Oryzias latipes: one gene and its partners. The protein of the gene in region 3 binds, or shares a complex with, the protein of the main gene of each other region. Links are inferred from orthologs where the notes say so. Each region holds a gene or a part of one and is shown on either strand. Other genes may lie near its edges. The genes, in order: tssc4, lsm7 and prpf8.

What was found.
Region 1: the proteins of prpf8 (region 3) and tssc4 are in contact, whole or in part, in a cryo-EM structure (PDB 7PX3), measured with the Homo sapiens proteins. The link is inferred for Oryzias latipes from reciprocal best matches to the Homo sapiens genes PRPF8 and TSSC4. Residues at the interface, in NP_006436.3 of Homo sapiens: Thr2087, Asn2088, His2089, Ile2090, Tyr2091, Val2092, Ser2093, Ser2094, Asp2095, Lys2108, Leu2111, Lys2112, Glu2184, Thr2219, Pro2220, Thr2224, Leu2225, Leu2262, Leu2263; in NP_001284587.1 of Homo sapiens: Pro153, Asp154, Tyr155, Glu160, Arg161, Trp162, Thr163, Lys164, Tyr165, Ser166, Leu167.
Region 2: prpf8 (region 3) and lsm7 share a complex: the UniProt entries of both Homo sapiens proteins name them as parts of the U4/U6-U5 tri-snRNP complex. The link is inferred for Oryzias latipes from reciprocal best matches to the Homo sapiens genes PRPF8 and LSM7.

Annotation. Positions count from the first base shown.
Region 1 is NC_019861.2:37,264,986-37,268,737, forward strand, and holds the start of tssc4 (protein TSSC4), read right to left. Parts: upstream 2,110-3,752; 5' UTR 2,013-2,109; intron 153-2,012; 5' UTR 83-152; coding exon 1-82. Other genes in the region: shcbp1 (SHC SH2 domain-binding protein 1), read left to right, coding at 2,318-2,450, 3,352-3,561. UniProt on the Homo sapiens protein: Protein associated with the U5 snRNP, during its maturation and its post-splicing recycling and which is required for spliceosomal tri-snRNP complex assembly in the nucleus.
Region 2 is NC_019862.2:8,273,069-8,276,820, forward strand, and holds the start of lsm7 (U6 snRNA-associated Sm-like protein LSm7), read right to left. Parts: upstream 2,415-3,752; 5' UTR 2,308-2,414; coding exon 2,302-2,307; intron 2,069-2,301; coding exon 1,978-2,068; intron 1,883-1,977; coding exon 1,811-1,882; intron 179-1,810; coding exon 36-178; 3' UTR 1-35. Other genes in the region: kelch-like protein 24, read left to right, coding at 2,705-3,614, 3,741-3,752. UniProt on the Homo sapiens protein: Plays a role in pre-mRNA splicing as component of the U4/U6-U5 tri-snRNP complex that is involved in spliceosome assembly, and as component of the precatalytic spliceosome (spliceosome B complex).
Region 3 is NC_019871.2:16,917,319-16,920,970, reverse strand, and holds part of prpf8 (pre-mRNA-processing-splicing factor 8), read right to left. Parts: coding exon 3,511-3,652; intron 3,406-3,510; coding exon 3,286-3,405; intron 3,203-3,285; coding exon 3,013-3,202; intron 2,857-3,012; coding exon 2,737-2,856; intron 2,472-2,736; coding exon 2,337-2,471; intron 2,205-2,336; coding exon 2,075-2,204; intron 1,964-2,074; coding exon 1,767-1,963; intron 989-1,766; coding exon 782-988; intron 1-781. UniProt on the Homo sapiens protein: Plays a role in pre-mRNA splicing as core component of precatalytic, catalytic and postcatalytic spliceosomal complexes, both of the predominant U2-type spliceosome and the minor U12-type spliceosome.

The DNA of each region.
Region 1 (3,752 bases), on a different chromosome or scaffold from region 3:
CGGGCTCCGACTCGTCACTGGCCGACAGCTCAAAGCCTTCTTGGTCGTCGCCGCAGCTCTGGACGCATTTCTGCTGCGACATCTTCAGCCGCGGCTGCAGCCGAACCCCGAGCCGCGAGGAAGACAAACCCGGTCAGGTGGGAACCCCAAAACTGTAGAGGAAGACACCAAAGGTCAGGCCACCCCATCAAACCTGCATGGACTGGTTTTAACATCTACCAAAACAACAACAAGCTGCTAGGACCTGTGAGGACGGACCACCGAGCATCCAACAGTAAATATGAGGGTTTTGGAAATAACCTGTAAAATAATAATGATCCTCTATGTTTACATCCATTTTAAAAGCAAGCATAATTATTTAAGTCCTAATTCTGTTCAATTCAAAACAAACTTGAAATAAATGTTTTGAAATAATGACCCAATAAAAGGTCAATAATTACAAGAATGCGCACGTGCAGCCAGTGCTGAACGTTGTCATTGGCTGCACGGACCCACAGGAAGGGTCAAGGTTAGGATTTCGGTAAGTTCAGGCAGGTATCCAGGAAGCACGTTTAAACTAGCCTGACTTTAAGCCTGAACTCTGGCTGAAATCCGCCTGAACTTGCTTACTCTGGGTATGTCGGTATGACCAGATTTGAGTTAGTGTAATTACGCTGGACTTGGTAACCCTAACTCAAACTCCCCAACCATCAAATCAGAGAATATTTGAATGAAACGTCCTTTCCCTACATCTCAAATTCAAATTATATAACCCAATATTTCAATAATTCAGAAAAGAAACAAATACGAACCAAATATTTCAAACTCCCCATCCCTCCTAAAGCCAAGGAAGTCAATTTTAAAACCTTTTCAGGTATTTTACCCTTCCAAGGAATTACTAAGAAAACGGTTTGGAATTCCTGAAAACTGCTGTTCTTTTTGTCATGATGACATTGAAACAACTGAGCATCTTTTCTTTGAATGTTTTGACTCTAATGTCTTTTGGAATTATTGGCTTTTCCCCCAAATCCCACATTTAGCAGACTTTTCTATTAAGGACATCATTTTTGGGTTTAATTTAAAAAACAAAAAAACACAGAACTTATTTTAAATGTTGTAATTATTTTGGGTAAATTCTATATACATAAATGTCAATTCCTTGAAATCCAACCATATTCTTTTACATTTCATAAAGAACTCTGCTCTTTTTTTCATCTGCAAACTTCATGGAAATCAAACTTGCTATGGAACTTCAAAGTATTATATGTAACTTGCAGCTTTTTGAGAACCCCCCAAGTCAAGAATCATTAAAATGTCTATGTGACCCCCTTTTTATTTTAATTTCTTTTATTTAATTTTTTTTCGGTATTATTGTTATATTTTTATTTTATCCTGCCTATGTTGTTTGTTCATGTCCTGTACTTTTTCTACTTTTCTATACTTGTCATAATTGTATACAATTGTTACAAATTGTAAACCTCAAGTGTTTTTTCAATTAAAAAAAAAGCTAAAAATAAAGAAAATACCCCCCTGGTTCCTGAGCGGCTGTTTCTGCAGCTCTCCGCTCCTCCAGGATCAAAGTACAATTTTCTCACAGTTAATGGGATTTTAACTTTAAATATGTTTTCCATAACTTTGTTTTCTAGTAAAAATACGTGCGAACAACAATAATAACATCATCATGATCATCAGCCTTAACAGCGCATGAATTAAAACATCTGTTTCATCTCATATATGAATTTTTTTTGTGCCTAAAAAACTAAAGCTTTTGTTTTGATTTTATTTAAAAAGATTGGCAATAAAAATAAAAATAACTCGGAATATTGACTTCGTAAAAACAAGATTCAGACTGAAGTTAGTTAGCATGCTAAGTAGCACGATGCTAGTAGTAGCGCGACATGCTAACAACGTTACAAATGCTTATAAACAAAACAAAAATGCTGTCTAGCCGAAAAGAGCTGCGAAATGCGCTGTTGTTTACATGACAAATATTTATATAATACGCGTAGTTTTGACTTAAATCCCGTTTGTACCTTTGAAATAGCGCAGACCGCCGGCCGAAACCCTCTTCTTCTACGGTAGATCGTGTAATGTTTACGTCATTACTGCCCCCTAACGATTGTCCTGTGGTACTGCAGACCGAGCCGATCCGCGCATGTAAAAAAACAAGGGCGGGTCTTTATATAGCTCCCTGCTGTGATTGGCTGAGCTGCAGCAGACCGGGATCTTTTGAAAGTGTCAGGGCGTGGGCTCAGAACTCCGCTTGTTGTTTCAAAGCTCCAAGTGCCGCGTGATCCTCATTTAATCCCGTTAAACCGAGACTCTGGCGAGCGTTTCAATGGAGTTCGAAGCCCTGGAAACCGGGTGTACCGTCAGCGACGTGTCGGACTTGGTGGTGGTCGATCTGGATCCTCAGGTCGAGACGGACAGCGTTTGCTCCGCGGGACCCGGTTTATTGGATGTAGCGCAAGGTTTGTTACGTTACCGTTTTTGGTTTGAGTTTTCTTTCCTCCGAGTCGGTGTATGAGACAAGCTAACCGCTGCCGTCGAGGTTTGCTAGCTTGGAGATTTAGCAGACTTTTTATCCGAGTTTCCGGCGGTCTGTGAACGCAGCGTCTTCATATGTCGTCAGCCTGAGCTGCATTCTCGGAACTGTCAATCTTGCAGGATTTTCCAAACTTAACCCAAATACGACAAATAATTATATTTCACTCTCATCTGAGTAGACATTAACGGATGTTGAAATAAACAAATAACACAATTATGTTATTACAAAAACAAAATATACCTATAGAAGACCGCAAAAGGGGTGTCAGACTGTTTCTTTTTTTTTTTTTAAGATATCCTGCCTTATCTGCTACTGATTACCTGGATCAGGTGTGCTTCATGGCAGGTTGGTTGGACAACATGTAGGACACCGGCCCTCGAGGCCTGGAGTTTGACACCTGGAAAACGGGGGTGTAAATAAATTCATTTATTTGTGTATGTAGACACAGTATTTGTGACTCTTTTGTTGATTCTATGAAGTTGTTTAACAGATTGTTAAATAAAAGAGAAGAGAAAATATCTGCTTTCATGAGGATTTTGACACAGGAGGACCGGAAAAAGCCTTAAAACCTGTTAACTTACTAAAAATACAGCAATTAAGGACAAAAATAACATTTAAAATGCCTATGAAATTATTATTAAAATTAGAGTTGAAAGCATATTTTTTAAAATAGCAAAATAACTTTATAAATGAGTTAAATCAATGCAAACATTTTTTTTAAAGTCCTTCAAAGTTTAAAAAAGCATTAACAGTCTTTTATTTTGAAAAGTGGCGCTGGACAAACTTTCACAGCCATCATTCATGACCTCCGCTGGGTTCTGCAGCTCTGTTCCAGAACGATGATGCTGGAGACGTCAGTGACGAAGACGAGGATGACGACGACGACAGCGGGACAGACCACCAGAACTCTGAGAGGTCGGGGACGCAGCTGCAGAGGTCGGAGCGGCGGTCAGGAGCGACTCTGCCGGACACCTTCCAGACCGGCAGCCTGCTGTTCTACGAGAGGTTCAAGGCGTACCAGGACTACATGCTGGGTAACGGGGGACCCCAACGCTCGCATGGAGGCGGTTATATTACAGTACAATCATGCAAAACACCCACGACGGTGTAGAAAGAGCTGCAGATGGCGTTCAAACTTTATTGTTCACAACAGTGATGACAAAGCTTAGGCAGAGGCTTCAAAATAAAAACGGTTGGAGGTCAGACTCCCTCTGGCTGAAAGAAA
Region 2 (3,752 bases), on a different chromosome or scaffold from region 3:
GAAACAAAACAAAGGTCTAACACTTCATGGGCGATTTAGCCGTCTTGCTGCTGTATGAAGGGGTTGGGTATGGCCTCCATGCCGTCCTGAGGACAGATCAGGACGACGGAGGTTCCTCTGCAGACCACCAGCCCCAGCTGCCTGGTGTCTTCTGTCAGCTTCAGCTGGTCGTCTGGATCTGCACACAGACACACAAAGGGATTGTAAATGCCAGAGGATGTTCATCTTTATGTTGCAGTTTTTGTACATTTAAAGAGATTTTTATTGCCGTCAGTAAATGTGACAAATGCTTAACAGAACAAGAGTCCACAGTTGATCCGATACTAGAGGAAAACAATATTACAATGCAAAGAGTTATTAGTTCAAACACAAAAACATTTTTTTCTAGCTAGTGGACTCTTAATGTTAAGGAAATGCTTCAGAATATGATAATGACCTATTAGAACCTATGCAAATGGGAGATAAAAACTTTGGTTTACGGAAAAACACGCCAAGTTTTTAATCGTTATTAAACGCGAGTTTGATGAATTATTATTATAGTTTTTAACTGGAGATCAATACAATTAATTTACTTAGTTTGAAGAGTGAAGGTGAAATTCTTACTGAAAGAAAAGTTACAATATTTAGAAAGGAGAATTAGAAGAAAAAACATTCTTACAAAAAACAGTTTTTCGCCATGGCGATCAAAGTAGCTCCAACTGCTCTTTGTGACATTTTAATGCAGCCAAATTATATATACGTTTAAAATGTGTTTACTTTATTAATCATTGTTAATCCGGCATTAGAGAGTGGGCTAGTGTTAATTTTCTCTCGACTTTAATGTGTCTTCATCATGAATGCTCATCATAGTAAGAAATAATGAGGTCATGTTATGTATTTGGAAAACAAAAGTCCATCTTGTTGATGGTTTTTCTGAAAAATATGAATAACCTTCTTTATGAATCTTTAGAGACATGATGCAGACATGATGCATTCATGATGACAAACAGGACATTTTTTCAAGATGGGGAATTGTGATTAGAAAACGCAGTTCAAAGTTTGATTAAAAACAAAACATTAAGTCCTAAAATACCTGTCTTAGACTACAGCACAATAAATCAATGTTTATTGAAAAAGTTCAGTCTCATTTTAATTTCCAATTTAACTTTTTTCAATTTTTATTAAAGCTTTAGTTTTTAAGAAATACACACTTTTGTAGAACTGATGAATTAAATTAACGCTGATGTTTTTCACACTTATTTACGAGTAAAAACTGCACAAGAACAGATGGAAATTCACGTATTAAGTTCAGCAAAGATGCATTTATCAGAGTCATTAGTGGTTTTACCCAACCCTAACCATTCCTCCAGGTCTGTGAGGCCAAGAAAGAAGTTCTGCACCGGCTCTACGTATTTAGAAAATTATGTGGGAATAGTCACTTTCATAAATTGAAGAAAAATAGAACTTTAAATACAAAAAATTGTAAATATTATAAAGGCGAACAGATTGGCTTCTCCTGTCTGAGAAGGCACGAGAAAATCGTTTAAAAAAAAAAAAGAAAATCTTGCGGCTTTGATGAGTAAATATTACATTTTTTAAATGGAGATCAATACAATTGATTTACTTAAAAAAACAGTTTGAAGAGTGAAGCTGATATTCTAACTGAAAGAAGAGTTACAGTATTTTTGGAAATGAAAAAGAATTAGAAAGTTTGAACCTCACAGCCTGAGTCCACATAACAGTATCAGTAAACCATGGACTAAATAACTCCTAACTACTTAATTATTAGTTCTCCATTAAGAAAAGTGGGTACACGTGAGTTTTCACTTACCACGCATGTACTCAATTGTACCGTCCAACACCAGGTTCAATAGAGGATCGAACCCTTTTAGAACTCCGCTGGCTAAAGAGGGAATAAACAAAGTAAATAATTATATTCTGACATCACTGTGAATATTCTGGTCACCACAAGTTACAATCTTTCGACAAGCCACCTACCCTCCCGTCCTCCTTGAAACTTCACACGAATTGGCTTGTCGATGTATTTGGACAAGTCAAAGATGCTCTCCTTCTTTTTCTTTTCTTTATCCTGTAAAGAAATGTCAGTTTCCAAGATTAATGCACAGTTTAAGGCGCAGACCCTTAGCCTAGCATTAGCTTAGCATCACTGACTAAGGCAGTAACAATTTCACAAATAAAACGGCCGTTACTTCAGAAATGTTATTCTCATTTCCTCAAGTATTCTATTACTGACTAACACCAAATAGAAAATGTTCGGTGAACAATAAGAGAGAAAATTAAACGAAATTATTTCGCACTCACCGCCATGTTTGAAGTGTGACCCGGAAGTTAAACTTTGACCCCAGATACAATTTAATAGCACCAATCACATCGCCGTAAACTCGCATCTGACGTCATCTGAAGTTATTTGCACTCAAAAAATAAAATAAAAAAATGTTCTTAGCTTTAGTTTTACTAAATAATTGTATTTTAATAGTAATTTTTAAAAAAACTTTTACTTTTCAAAGTTGACCTCTTTCTTAACTGCATTCTCCGGGCAGGGGCGTCTATTAATAAACAAAGTACACACCAGCTGGTGTGTTGGGAACCTACCGTAGTTGTGATCCAGAAACAGGACAAAGCAGTAGACTTGTTTTACTCTTTACAGTGACTGAAGTGAAGTTTCAGAGCTTCAATCAATCTTTTCCATGAGTTAGATAACACAATGGACGAAGATGGATATGCTTTTCATGTGGAAGACCCTGGGCCGGATTTTATTCCAGATGCTGTCCTACGGGTAGAGGAGGAGAACTTTTACGTCTGTCGGGAGCACCTGGCCCTTCAGAGTCCATACTTCAGAGCTCTGTTCTTTGGCTGTGGTGTGGAAAGCCGCAAAAAGCTTGTTGAGATCAAAGGTGTGGGTCGACAGTCTTTCAAAGTTTTGATAGAGTACAGCAAGACTCGCCGTCTGACTTTGGACCATGAAAATGTTCTTGGGATTCTTGAGACTGCAAACTATCTACAACTAGAAAAAGCCAGACTGCTGTGTTGCAAGTTCTTGGAGCGCGAGCTACACCTCACGAATTGTTTAGGAATGATGGCCTATGCATGGCAACTGGGCTGCTCTCAGCTTTATTCTGCAGCCCGGCAGGTTGTGCTCACACACTTCCCTGCGGTCTCAGCTGAAGAGGATTTTCTGTCCCTTTCCAAGGAAAGTATTGCTGATCTACTTGCCAGTGATGATCTGGCTCTCCACAAAGACGATGTGGCGCTTGAAGCCACCCTGCGCTGGGTTTCGTTTGATCCTAAACGAGAAGAACATTTTTTAGAGCTAATAGAGCTGGTGAGACCAGAGTCTCTCTCCTTAGCATTTATTACCCAACTTCTGACCAGAATGAAAGGTTCTGACCCTCGAGCAAGGCTCATCAGCAAGCTGAATGATCACTTCCCAGCCTCTTGGTCAGTAGGCAGGTCTTTGAGGCGGACCAAAGCTACAGAGACTCTCTATGTCCTGGGAGGGCCTCATGATCAGGAACAGCAGGCACTGTATCAGTTCCACCCTCTGAGCGGTAGATGGCAGTGCTGTGCACCTTTGCAGCAGAAGAATCTAACTCAGTACTCAGTAGCTGCAGTAGGTAATATCCAATTAAGATTAAAGAGAATGCTTTTCTTGAAATCTCAAATGTGAAATAAATGTATAAATTATATTACATTATAAATGTATAAAATAAATGTAAATTTAAGGTGTATTTTCCATTTAGGAAACAACGTGG
Region 3 (3,652 bases):
TGAGACTCATGGGTTAAGAATTATAACACTTTTAATTGTACTTTTTCAAATGATGAATTAAATTGTCTGAACAGTTAGTGGCCAACTGCATCTGTAACCAGCAATAAAAATAACTGTTCACATTGATGTTCCTCTTGTTCTTACGCACAGACAAGCAGACCAATGCCAGAGCGCCTTTGTAAGAGGACTTTTTCTTATTTAGAAAAAATATATATTTCGGAATGTGTTTTTCATCTTGTCAGCAATTTAAAAGAAAAATCTAAATCATACTCCTGACAGGAGGGTTAAATAAGAGTTTTATCTCCAGTGTGAAAGAGGTCACGTTATGTTGTGTACTGTATATACTATAACAGCATCTGGACATTTAAATTTTTACAACCATGTCAATTTTATGTTTTTTTTATTTATTATTTTGTCAATATCAATCTTATGGGGGTTTAAAGCTGCTACATGTCCTTACCAACATGTCTATTATGTGTATTTTTACAGAAAGATACATATATTTAATTCCAGTTCACATCCATTTGATTTTTTTACTCATATTGTATTGAATCTTATTTTTATACTCCATTTAATTGTTTGTTTTTTTACATATCACAGTTTAGTCAGTAATATTTTACTTTCTACATTTAGTCCACTCTGCATCTCTTTTAAAACCTTTTTTAAACAGCTGTGGAATTTTAAAAGGTCCGACAGTGGCACAAAGCCTTTTTCAAAAGGTTGTTCTGTGAATTTATATGTATCGTATGTGACAAATAAAATGTGAGTGGTTTTTTGTTACCTTCAGGTAGTTGTGCTGTCGTTCCTGTTCGGCTTTCAGGTACAGACGTGTCAGCCGGCCCAGGTTCTTTTTGCACACCGTCTTGTCCACAGTGGCTCCTCTGCGAATTCGCTCACGGTTGTAGTGAGCCGTGTTGGTCCACCAGTCAGCTTTGGCCTTTACGTACCGGAGAATCATATTCTCGATGGGCGTAGGAAGACCGGGCACCTGGCATTTTCGTGGGGAGGGAAAAAAAAGTAAATAAGAGGTGACCTTAAACAAAATAAAAGTTAGCTACAAGGATCTAGCCTCAAACAGTAGCCGCGGTTACAGGCGCCAAATATCTTGATGGGATCAATGGTCGTATTAAAGTTCAACCGTGTACATGGGCCCAAAAAAAATGTTCTGATTAGAACAAACGTTCACATGGGTCTCACTTTCGGTCGGAATAAATCATTTGGGCATGCGCAGTAGTGTTGACAATACCGGAAGAGGAAATGAGTCCCACAGTAAACAAACAGAGCGAATACATACATCTATTTAGCAGCTCTGTAATATACGAGACGATCTTCTAAACCTGCTGTTATTAGTGTTATGGTTACTATGAAGCGCCTGTTCGCTCATTTCATTTTTAATCTGTGTGGTGAGTGCATTTTTGTGGAAGAACAGAGCTGGAAGAAGAATTAGGTGAAGAATAACATGCGCTACCAACAACATTTAGCTTTGTATGAACACAAAATCCACGTGGGAAATGCTGCAATCTGCATCTTGGCTGCACGTAAATATGTGGGAATAACATCAGTCTTTATTTTGTCAGGACACGACTGGAAACACAAATCCAAGTGATTGTTTGAACGGTTTCTAAGGACTGAGCGGCATTTCTGCTATGAAAAGCTCACTGCCCCAAAGCCGCTGTGTGAGCTGGCGGCCCAAGCTTCAATTATATTTGTGTGTTTCCAAACAATAAAACAAAGCCTCTTAGATGTGTTGACTGTGCATCACTGACCTTCCAGGGAATGTTTGCTTTCCAGCATCTCCAGGACTCGCTGAGGTGCTGCAGGATGGTTCTGGCCTTGTTCTGTTTGATGCCCTCGGGCATCATGTCAAGGATGTCATGCATCACCGCAGCACGCAACTCCAGGTCAAAGTGGGACTCCACACGCTGCTTGGTAACAGTCTTGGCAACGCCCTTTGAGTGACGTCCTACCATGATAAACACAAATCAGATAAATCTGATATTGAATTTATGAATCATAATAAATGCACAACAGAACCTGAAATTCAAAAAGACAATGTGGAAGTATGTCGTCGTACCTTCAAACTGCCTGGCCAACAGATTTCCCAGCCATCTCTCCAACAGTGGAGTAATGCCTCTCATGAAGAAGAGCCAAACCCTCCAGCCAGGAGCCCAAAATCCACAACCGGGACCCTTGCCCACGGGGCCCTGATTGAATAACAAGCACTACCTTTAGGTGCTATTGCAATGTGAGGGTCTTATAGAGTTTGTGTAAATCAAGTAAACGGACTTTAAAAAGAGACAAAAATAAGGCTACAAGAACAGCATGCTTATACTCACAGTGTTGAACCGATAGTAGATGAGATGCTTCAGGTCTTTGCACATCCTAATTTGTCTCATCAGCTTGTACTTGTAGCGGTACATGCCGGTCAGCTGTCCAACATGGGCAAAGATGTACTGCAGTCCATCAGACAACTGCAACAAAAAGCAAGGAATGAAGTTAATTATTGGAATTGGAACTTGTCTGTAGTTAATAAACATAACCAAACCAAACAAAAGTTGTGTTTATGAAAACAACACAATGAATAATAAAAAAGTCAATTATCAAAACTTTTCTTAATAAAGCTAAAGTGCTGTCTTTAATATTTCCAACACATAAAACAAAATATTTTTTCTTTGTCTACAAAATAAAATAAAAATACCTTTAAAAAGAAAAAGGCCCAAAATTTGAAACACTAACCTGGAAAGCATCAACATTTCCCAATCTGTACTGCACATGGCTGTCCACCACCAGTTTACTGAGGCGCAGCACCTCTCTGCACAGGTGGAAGGCATTCCCAAACCGGGACTTCTTTCGCTCCTGGAGGACAACAACAAAGCCACAAATCAAAATTGGTGTAATCAGAAACAGAGAAAATTGCTTTGTGGATTAAAATAAAAAATATATGTATATATATAATAAAATTTCATGTTGAAATTATTTAAACATTCAGTAGCTTTGCTCAGGTTGGTTTACCTTTGTGGTCAGTGTCTTGACTGGCTTCAGGTTGAAGTTGTAATCCAGATGCAAGTAGTTGAGGTTCTTGCGGTGGATAAGGAGATTGAGCATGTTGTAGCCCTGTCTGCACACCTGCAGGCCCACCTCCACCCAGTCCAGCTTTGTAGACTGGAAAAACTTGGTGGCTTTGAAGGAACGGAACAAATATCTGAAAGGAAACAGCAGAAAAGACATATAAAAACCTACACACGTCTTAAAACCATCAGTCAAATAATAAAAAGCTGTATTCACCTCTTCTTCTGTGCCTTTGGTGGTCTGTGTTTGAGAGCGTTAAGGACGTAGTACTTCAGCAGCTTCTGATATGATACACGCACCTTCACGGGCTGTCCTGCTGGACAATGCTCTCTGTACCTGTGTAATATTTTAATAATTACAACATTTTTATTCAAGTAAAATCTAGCTTTGTATACAACCCAAATCCAGAATTGTATTAAAACTGTACAGCCATCAGCTTACCAGTTCTTGATGAGAGGGATGTCAATGGCACGCCGAGTGCGGCCAGAACGAAGGTTGAAAGGTCTGGGAGCCCAAAGCAGAGCAATGCCATTGGCTGTGTTGTCTGTGTAAAGGGGGGTCTCTTTGAGGAACGGCTCCACAA